Drosophila melanogaster: one gene and its partner. The protein of the gene in region 1 interacts with the protein of each later gene in a pairwise test. Each region holds a gene or a part of one and is shown in the gene's direction. Other genes may lie near its edges.

Region 1 (4,161 bases):
CTTTTGGCGGGATGATTTAAAAACGCAAATGGTGTTTATGATTGTATTGATTGATTGACTCGTCGTATCTAGTTGCACACAAGAAATATGATTATTTAAGTATTGCATAAATATCGAAACAATCTTAGACTACGAATAACAAATATACTGTTGATGTTGGTCTTAAAAGTACACGGCTATAGGACAAATTAAAAGTCGTCGTCGTTGGCTTAACTAAAAGATTCTGCGCGCGGAACAATGAAAAACAAAATTCGGCTATTACATTATTAAGTGGAGTACACGTGGACTGGCAAACATCGTTGCTGCATTGCACTTGCTTAAAATCTTCTATTGCCGCCCATATTTGGCCCGGGTCTGGGCCCGTTGAAGCTGGAAATGGCGATGATTGGGGTTAGTGGTTTTTATGCAGACGATATGAATGAACCTACCGGTTTCTTTGGCCTGGACCTCCGCCGCCACTGCCCAAGGGCGGGAACTCCGAGTGATATGCATTTATGCCATTCTGATTGTGATTTCTACCTCCTGAACCTCCGCGTTTGCTTGGGCCTCCTTGGGGACTGCTTGTCTCGTGACTGCTATCGCGTCTGTCATTGAATCCGCCTCCTCCTCCATTGAAAAATCCACGTCCTCCCGGTGGATTTCCTCTATATGGCAAAACAAGATATTATATATAATTTAGAACCCAATCTTATGCACAACTTACCCATTAGTCCCACGATTGCCAGAGTTCATTGGTCCATTGCCAAAGCGTCCGAAGCCCATTTGCTGCTGCTGATGCTCTACAGGCAGGGCAAATCCACGTCGATCCTGTCGCACATGGCTTGGACCTGGGCCGCCGCCGCCGGCCCTCTGATTTACGGATCCTCCTCCCCCGCTGCTGGAGCTGCCTCCCTGAAAGTCACTATTATTGCCTCCTCCCCTATATCCGCTGGTTGGACTGTTCTTAAAGTTTCTTCTGCCAGGCTGTGGTCCACTGTTGTCCCGCTGCTGAAACCGATTGCTGCCGAAGCGTCCCTCGTTGCCCGCGCTTCCACCGAACTTGCCTCCGCCTGCAAATTTGTTCCTAAAGCCCTGTCCCTGATTGGAAGACTCATTGTTCGGTGGTCCTTTCGAGTATGGAGCACTGCGCTGTTGTCTGTAGTTGGACTCGTTTCTCACGGGACCAAATTTGGCGGCCGAGGAGTTCGAGCTCCTTGGGCCTTCGTTGGAGAATCTGCCACCGACTTCCTCACGAAAGTTGCGCTTGAAGTTGGTATTGGATTCATGAGGTCTCTTGTCCGCCCCGCCACCTTGAACTGAGGATGATGAAATACTTAGATGCTGGATCTTTGGAGTGATCAAAGCTTACCCTGCGAGGGCCTGCGCCCCGGATTGTCCCCAGAGCCCGGCTGACCTCGACTGCCACCTCCCGGGCCGTACTTTGGCCTGCCCGCCTCCACCACAATGGGCTGGCCCTTGAAGATGGTGCCATTCAGCGCTGCGATGGCCGCCTCCGCCATGTCCGTGTTCTCCAGATGGACGAAGGCGCAGCGATTCATCACGTCGCACTCAACGACCGATCCATAGTTGGTGAACAGTCGACGCAGCTCCTCCGGCTTGCAGCGCGGCAGGCTGCCGACGAACACCTTGGCGGTCTGCAGGATAAAGCTAGCATTACTCCGGATTACTATGGACAATCCGGCGGCGCTGCCTCTTTCTTACGTACAGTATTCATGTATTTATTTTTCTCTACAACTTTTCGCTGTTTTTTTCTTTTATTGAAATGGAGATGGACAACTGTGCACCTGACCGGCAGTGTGACCAGCGATGGCTACTTCCACGGCCATATCGGTAGCTATCGACATCGATAGACCCAAGCCATCACTTTTGTTTACCAATTTTAAAATTTTAAAAATTAAGGTTTCTCACGAGCCTGATCTATCATGTGGCCTCCAGGGAGCGAGGATAGCTACTCCGCCAAAATGGACTATGGCAAGAGCGTGGTGAACATCCTGCCCAGCGTAGAGATGCTGGTGAACTTTAATGGCGAAATGACGCGGTCTAGCAAACGGTCATGTCTACTGTACGCGGAGAGAGTGGACTTCAAGGAGCTGCTGGTAAATATGCTTGTCAAGACCTCCTCCGATCAAATTTCAATACATCCTCTGCCCCACAGCAACTCCGATTAACGGAGAAGTCCGATCAACGGCGCATGTACATCACCACAGTGGACAGCGCCTCCTTTCAGGATCTTAAACAGGATCAGTCGCTGAATGTGTCATTCTCTGGGTTCATTGACAATGTAGTGCGCATGCTGAAGGACTGCCAGTCGGGTAAACTGGAGCTGCACCTGACCACACGGGATCAGAACCTTTCATCCGGCAGGGAGGTCCACGACTATTATCTTCAGTTTGTTGAAATTCGGTCCTTTAAGAACCTAGTTCACCTTAGCCTGCCTTGTCGTTCTGCTCCCTTGAACACCGTACTCTTCTACATAAACAGCATGCTGGAAGCCTCCCACAAAAAGCAATATATTCTCGAGCAAAGTATGCAGCAAATGCAGGCTGAAATCAACGCACAACGCGCGCATGCGGAAAGGTTGACCACGGAAAACACAAATATCAGGGAAGCTTTGGCCGAAAATACTCGCATCTTAGAGGAAAAGCATGCTGCCGAGGTCCATCAATACCAGGAAAAACTGTCCAAAATAAACGAGCAGCGCAGCAATGAGCTGGAGAGAAATCGTAGAGCGATCTCCGGCTTTCAGGCCCAATTGGACAAGGCTTCGTTGGAGAAAGCAGAACTAAAGTCGGCCCAAGAGCAGGCCGAGAAACGATGTCAAACCCTGTCCGAGGAGTTGTCCTGTTGCAAAGCCAGAGTGTGCACCCTAAAAGAGCAAAATGACAAACTGCACGGGGATGTGGCCAATATCAGGAAGCATGAACGCAAGTTGGAGTACAAAATCGAGGACCTCAAGCAGCACACTGTCGAGCTGCAGGAACATATTCAAAAGGGAAACAAAGAGAAGGTATGTGTATAAAAAGAATAATGCACATCAGAAGAGTATATCCCTTTTAATTTTGCAGGCCAACATAGCCGCTGAACTGGAGGCCGAGAAGAAGATCCTGCACACCAAGCGCCAGGCTTTGGAAATGGCCTCCGAGGAGATCTCCAAGGCCAACCAGATAATCGTTAAACAAAGCCAGGAGCTGCTCAACCTCAAAAAGACCATTGCCTGGCGCACAGAGGTGGCTCTGCAGCAAGAGAAGGCGGTTCAGGCCAAGGAGAGCCTACTATCCCTGCGGGAGAATGAGCTGCGCGAGGCTCGAATAACTATTGAAAAACTGAGGGAGGAAATCCCCCAGCAACTGCAATCCATGCGTAACTTTGCCCAGGGACTGGAGCAGAAGTATTCCAAACGTAAGCTGAGACCCCAATCTTTAAGTGTACCTACTTACAACTTGCTCTTTTCAGAAATCCTCATTCTAAAAGAACGGCTTGCAATACCCACGGGCAAAGAAAATCGGCGATAGTTTTACTTATTGTTAATGCATTTTTTCGTTTTTTGTACCAGTTTAGTAAAGTTAGTTGTATTATTCAGCTCTAGTCATAATCCTCCTGAACACTTTCACCTGCATGAGCCGTGGCCACATTCACCGCTTGGCTGATATCCTCCATTTGGTTCAGTTTCAGTCGCTCACGGATGAGTTCAGCAATAGCTTTCTGGGTACGTCGTTCCAGTCGCTCCAACTTTTTGCTGGCATCCCGCTTCAGATCCCAGTCGGGTTTTCGGGGAGCCAGGTTGGTTATGTCAATCTCATCTATCACCATGGGCTGCTGGAGCAGACTCAATTGATCCTCCACAGCTGATTCTATGTTGCCCGTGGGTTCCTGTGCTAGAATCTCGCCATCGGTGGTCTCATTCTGGGGCTTGTAGCTGCGGAAAACTGGTCTGCAAAGATATATGAAACTGGTTTATAGGGATTCATAATAGCATTTCATTGTATTGCTGACTTGGGTAACTTTTCAATGGACTCGGCAGCGTCTCCTCCTTTGTTTTGCACTTGTTCCCGGAGTTTTTGCAGACGCTCCTTGCGTTTTAGAGATTCTTGTGTCAGCTTGCCGACGCCATTGTTGTCCATCATGCCCATGTGAAGTTTGTTCTCAAGATAATACAATTAA
Region 2 (5,318 bases), on another chromosome or scaffold:
GGCAACGAGAGCTATTGATCTTGGCGGGAAATGCTTGAGTGGCTATCAAATCTTGGTTGGAAATCTCATTATTTTCTGGTGAAGCCATGTTTGCTTGTGGGATTCCTAAGTTAAATGCCTGAGTTTCTATAAAATCTTGGTTGGAAGCATCATTAGCTGTAGAGGGTTTAGGTGAATCAACTTTTTGTGGCGGTGCCAAGTTAAATGCCTGTGTCGCTATGAGATCTTGATTGGCTTCATTTTCTTGTGGTGCCTGCGGACGTCCTAAGTTAAACGCCTGAGTAGCCACGAAGTCTTGGTTGTTTTGCCCATTGTCTTCCTCGTCACTTTCCAACAATTTATGTCGTGGAAATCGTTGAGTGGCTATCATATCTTGATTCTTTTCCTGACTATTCGTGTCAGGAGTGGCAGTGGGGGTCTCAATCGTCGCCACAACCAGCTGTTTAACTCCGCCAAACTGCGGTGTGGCGGTATTTGTATTGTCCGCAGGACGAACGAACGGATCTGGACTGCTGGAGCCATCGCGCCTCCTATCCCCCCCCATGATCAGGTCAAATAGATCGGGTGTGCAGATATTTCTATCTACGGACGGAGCGGTCAAATCGGGAGTAATGCAGGCATCGCCACGCGGCAATATATCATCCGCTTTGGTGCTACTCAGAGCACAGCATTTGGAATTGCTAGCCGACCAGTTCAAGGCACTCATTTCCATGTCGGTGGTGTCCAGTTGATCTAAGAAGAAAGCGCACATTATTGAAAGTTATCAGTTTCAATGGATGCACATACCCCGCTTAGTATCCTGATTTTCCAGACCTTCAATTGGTGCTGTTGGCGGCGGAAGAGGCAGCAGAACATCGCAGAGTACCTGTGAGGTATCGAAGTCATCGATGGCATCCTCATTATAATCCTGGGTGCACATGCGTATAATGCTGCCCTGAGATGATTCCTCATCGCTGTCTATCGTCGGACCTGGCTTATCAACTACGGGAATAACCGGGGGTTTAAACACTGGTGGTTCAGGTGGAAGATCCGCAAGCATATCCTGCGTTTCGGGTATCATGAAGTCATCGCCCAGCGACACTCTTTGTCCGGTCGAAGGCCTTTCGCATAACACCGCTTGGGTCTCGGGTATAAATAAGCTATCTGCCGTTGTGTTGACTGATGTGTTGGCGGATGGAGGCTGTGTTTCCGGAACATCCATGCTGTCCAAGGTTGTGTTGTTTAATCCGTTCTTCAGGCATTCCCCGAATCCGCTACTGTCGTGGACCTGAACGAAGGGTAAGCATTAAGTTATGCATCCTGTAAGAATGGTATTTGGTGCCCATACCTCATCGTGATCTTCTCCAAACTCTAGCCTGGCCTCCACATTGCCAAAGCGGAGTTTCACCTTGCCGGCCACGGCGTTCTCCATGCCGATGTCCACCACGGTCTCCTCCTGGTCGTTCACAAAGATCTTGCCCACCAGGGCAGCCAGGCGCACCACACCTCGGCGCAGTATGCAGGCTGTGGCGTGGGCCAGCTCCATTGACTGCCCATTGAGGATAGGAGTTATTAAAGGGGAAATGTTTAAGTAAGGGCCAATTTACCTCATCGGCGATGCTTATTTCCAGGCCCTTCTGCCTCCCAATGCGGTAAATGGTATCCGCTTTCAGAAGAATGGCCGGCAAACCGCCAAAAAACAGGCTTACATCTGCCATCCTGGCGGCAGTTCCTTCAAAACTGAAGGACGAAAAAAAAAAACAAGACAATAAATGGAAACAACAAACGCACTGAACGGTCACACTTGAAATGGGCGCCAAAAACAGGCGATATATACGGTAGTGTTAATTACAACAGATATGCCAAAAGGCAAAATAAGACTAACAACGTATATTATTTTTAAAATTATATAGTGCCTTGTGAAGACTAGAATATCGAGCTTTAGTTTTTGTTTTGACACACTGAATAGTGATATACCGATAGTCCATTGTTTTCGATAATCCTGCATTGCCACGTGCACCTGGCAACCCTGTGCATCACCATGGCAATCGGTGGTTAGTTTCACTTTTGTTTTGAAACAACAATTATTGTACTATAAGCATACTATTAATACAGTTAACCATGAGGCATGAGTGATACCGATACGGACGACACCGATCTGCTGCTCCTGATACCACCGAACTTCTGCGCGGAGGACAAAATGAGCGCATGCGCGGCGGCAGATGCGTTGGCCATGCCCCCGCCCCCTCCCCCGGCGACCACAAGTGCAGCGTACCAGTTCCTACATCCCAGCAAGAAATCGGAGCTGAATAGCATCAATTCCCGGCTGCAGAACATCGCACTGGATGCGGAGGAGCCTCCCTCGGACATTTCCACCATATCCACGAATACTGTAAGGAACGCTGGAAGGCCAAGTAGGGAGCTCCACGGCATGGTGCACTCCACGCCGAAGAGTGGGTCCGTTGAGCCCCTCCGCCATCGACCACTGGACGACAACATTCTGCTCGAAATCGACCACTACCTAGACGACAATAATGCGCACCGTTGGCAGAGGCACGATCACCACCTGCATCACCGCAGCGACGATCATCTGAGGAACGAGCGGGCGGGGAAAGAGGGTCATCCGGGAACCTCGTCTCTGCCCAGCATGAGGCTGGCCTCATCATCCTCCGGCGCCGTTTCTGTCGAAGCAGCCAGGGTCGATCGAAGCAGCCTGAATGAGAACAAGATCATAAGTCTGAGCGAGCTCTGGGGCAAGAGCAGCTTGACCAAAACTGTACTCGACAACAACTCGCCCAACCGACCACTGTGCAGCTCTTCCCTAAAAGAGGAACAACTCAGAAGGCAGCATCTGGAGAAAATGGTGCACACACTGCAGTCGCATCTTTTGGAGTACCAGCAGCGAATCTCAGTGGCCATCGAGGTGGATCGTTCGAAGGATGCTGCTCTCACCGAGGCAGAGCAAACAGTTCAAAGTCTCAACTACGAGGTTCAGCACCTGCGGGACGCTGTCCACCGGCTGGAAGCGGACAGGGGCGAATCCCAGAGCCGGTTTGATGCACTGCAGAACGAGTTGTCGCAGGCGGTCAACTTGGCCACCAGGTTTCAGGAAAAGAATGATAAACTCGAAAGGGAGTTGGACCATTGCAGGCAAGACGCCAAGCAATGGGAAGAAAGACTGGAGCAACTGGAAATGCAACTCAACAGCAGCAAAAGAGCGGAGGAGCTGTCACATGCCGAGCTGAATAAGCTAAGGGATAAGTTTGCCAAGGTAGACTACCAACAAGAAAAGGTAATTTAAAAATAAGATTTCAACCACGGCCACTTTAACCACATTTCTTATATATAAGCTAAAAGCGCGGATAGAGGAACTGGAGAAGGAAAATAACACGCTGACCAATCAAAAGGAAATGCTGCAAGAATATCATCAGAAGCAGAAAGCAAGAGCGGATTCCTTGGAGAGCCATCGTAAATCCCTACAAGAAACTCTGGCGAACCTAACTGAAACTGAGGTTATTTAAAAATAAATACAAAAAAAAAAAGAACTCAATAATAAATGATTGTTGTTTTGCAGACCAATCTCAAGAAGAAGCTAGATATACAGCAGAAATCCCTAAAGCAATACTACCAACAGCAAATGGAAAATGTTGTGGCCAAGAAGATGCAGGAGTTCCAGGACCAACTGGACAAGAATGAGGAGCATTTAAAGAACGAAGCTCGGGAGCGTGAACGACTCATAGCCGAGCGGGCAGTAAAGCAGCTTGAAATGATCAATGAGAAAAACAACCAGGAATTGAATCTCATCCAGGAAAAGCACAACGAGGAGGTGGAGCTGTACCGCCTTCAACTAGCGAATGCCTCGAAGAAGATCGATGAAATGGATCTCAAGCTCAGCTGTTACAAAACAAAGCGGTAAGATATGAGAGCCTTATTTGTTTTCTGGTTTAAATAGAAATGGTTTTTTTTTCCATTCCAGTGCTGATATTGCGGAGAAACTGCATGGGGTAATGGAGGCCCAGTGGCAGCAGGCCCTTGCTATCCTCACCACTCCTAGTCAAAACTCCATTATCCAATCCAGTGACACTGAAGCCAGTGAATCTCCGGAGCTAAATAATGCACGCATGTATCCAGAAACGCCCAAATCGAGCAAATCGCAGCGCAGCAACAACACTGAGAAGAATAACCTGGATGTGGTGGGCAAACGGGATCCCCCCTCGCCGATGGACAAGCTGCAGGCCTACATTGAACTGCTGCTCAGCAAGTCGCCCAGTGATTTCGACAGGCTCGACGAGATCTTGGCCATGACATCCAAACAGGGTAGCAAACAAAGCAAACCAAAGAGCGGAAGTGGCAACAGTAAGCCTCCACCTTGGAAGTGCTGACAACGAGAGATGCTTTCGACAAGTAATATTCTATCTAGTAATACCTGTAGTTTTTTAAGAATGACTGCCTCTTTGAATGGCCGCTACAATGGACATTGTAGTTGTATATTTTTCTATGGAATTCTGAAAGTAAATAGTTTAGTTTTTGCAAAATATGATTGTTTATTTGATAATATCAACAATTGAAGGCAGCGTGGCATTTGTATGCAGCACGGGAAAAACAAAGGTGAAAATTTTAAATGTAATAATAATATAAAGTTTTGGTACAAAAGGTGTATTTTACAGCTCTATGAGACCTAAGCCTAGGAATCTTGTGATATATTAATTTTGTGGCTGTCGCCAGCGAATGTTGTATTTTATATCTTTTAAAAGGATTTATTCTTTGATTCAGCTGTTTCTTAGATCGTTTATGTGTCTGTCATTGATATGCTTTGAGTTGAATTATTGAGTATTTTCCCATTAACATTATTTGTAGACGATTTGAGGGAATTTCGGGGCATTTCCATAGAGCCCCTCTGATTCCCAGACTTGGATATGGGACTCTCGCGTTAGCACCACCAAATGCTGATGGGTTGAGTAGCAAATGCTGCAAGTTAAGCAGGGATTAGATTGTATTTTATTCGAATATGGAGCCACTTCTCTCTTACCTACGAATGGGCGATGTACCCGTGGTCAGCTCACTGACGAAGCTCAGGTTCCAGCTGGACCAGAAGCGCACGAATCCTCCCTCCACAGCAGTGGCTATCACGTTGACACCCACTCCTTCCTTGATGTAGGAGTAGCACACGGCCAGGATACGATCCTCGTGCACCAGGTGCTGCACATACCGCGCGTTCACTGAGTGCAGCCTCAAAATGGACTTGCCATTGGGATTCACATTCACATTGACGAAGTCGTCTAGGTTCTCCTCCGTTACCTCAAAGCATTCGTCGGCCACGTTCAGCGAATTAGGTCTGG

Evidence for each region.
Region 2: the proteins of Sas-6 (region 1) and Cnb interact in a two-hybrid assay, tested with the Drosophila melanogaster proteins (one study listed by BioGRID).

What each region holds. Positions count from the first base shown.
Region 1 is NT_033777.3:29,993,445-29,997,605, forward strand, and holds Sas-6 (spindle assembly abnormal 6), read left to right. Parts: upstream 1-1,912; 5' UTR 1,913-1,922; coding exon 1,923-2,096; intron 2,097-2,155; coding exon 2,156-3,007; intron 3,008-3,065; coding exon 3,066-3,399; intron 3,400-3,453; coding exon 3,454-3,512; 3' UTR 3,513-3,582; downstream 3,583-4,161. Other genes in the region: CG7903 (uncharacterized protein), read right to left, coding at 318-369, 429-644, 704-1,295, 1,349-1,634, 1,706-1,714; CG15525 (uncharacterized protein), read right to left, coding at 3,583-3,931, 3,994-4,130. UniProt on the Drosophila melanogaster protein: Central scaffolding component of the centrioles ensuring their 9-fold symmetry. Required for centrosome biogenesis and duplication. In ciliated neurons, required for centriole assembly but not necessary for cilium basal body and cilia function.
Region 2 is NT_037436.4:1,945,753-1,951,070, forward strand, and holds Cnb (centrobin), read left to right. Parts: upstream 1-1,812; 5' UTR 1,813-2,033; intron 2,034-2,094; 5' UTR 2,095-2,107; coding exon 2,108-3,271; intron 3,272-3,329; coding exon 3,330-3,491; intron 3,492-3,553; coding exon 3,554-3,891; intron 3,892-3,955; coding exon 3,956-4,361; 3' UTR 4,362-4,510; downstream 4,511-5,318. Other genes in the region: mu2 (mutator 2), read right to left, coding at 1-732, 787-1,267, 1,328-1,528, 1,587-1,697; mv (mauve), read right to left, coding at 4,827-4,947, 5,009-5,318.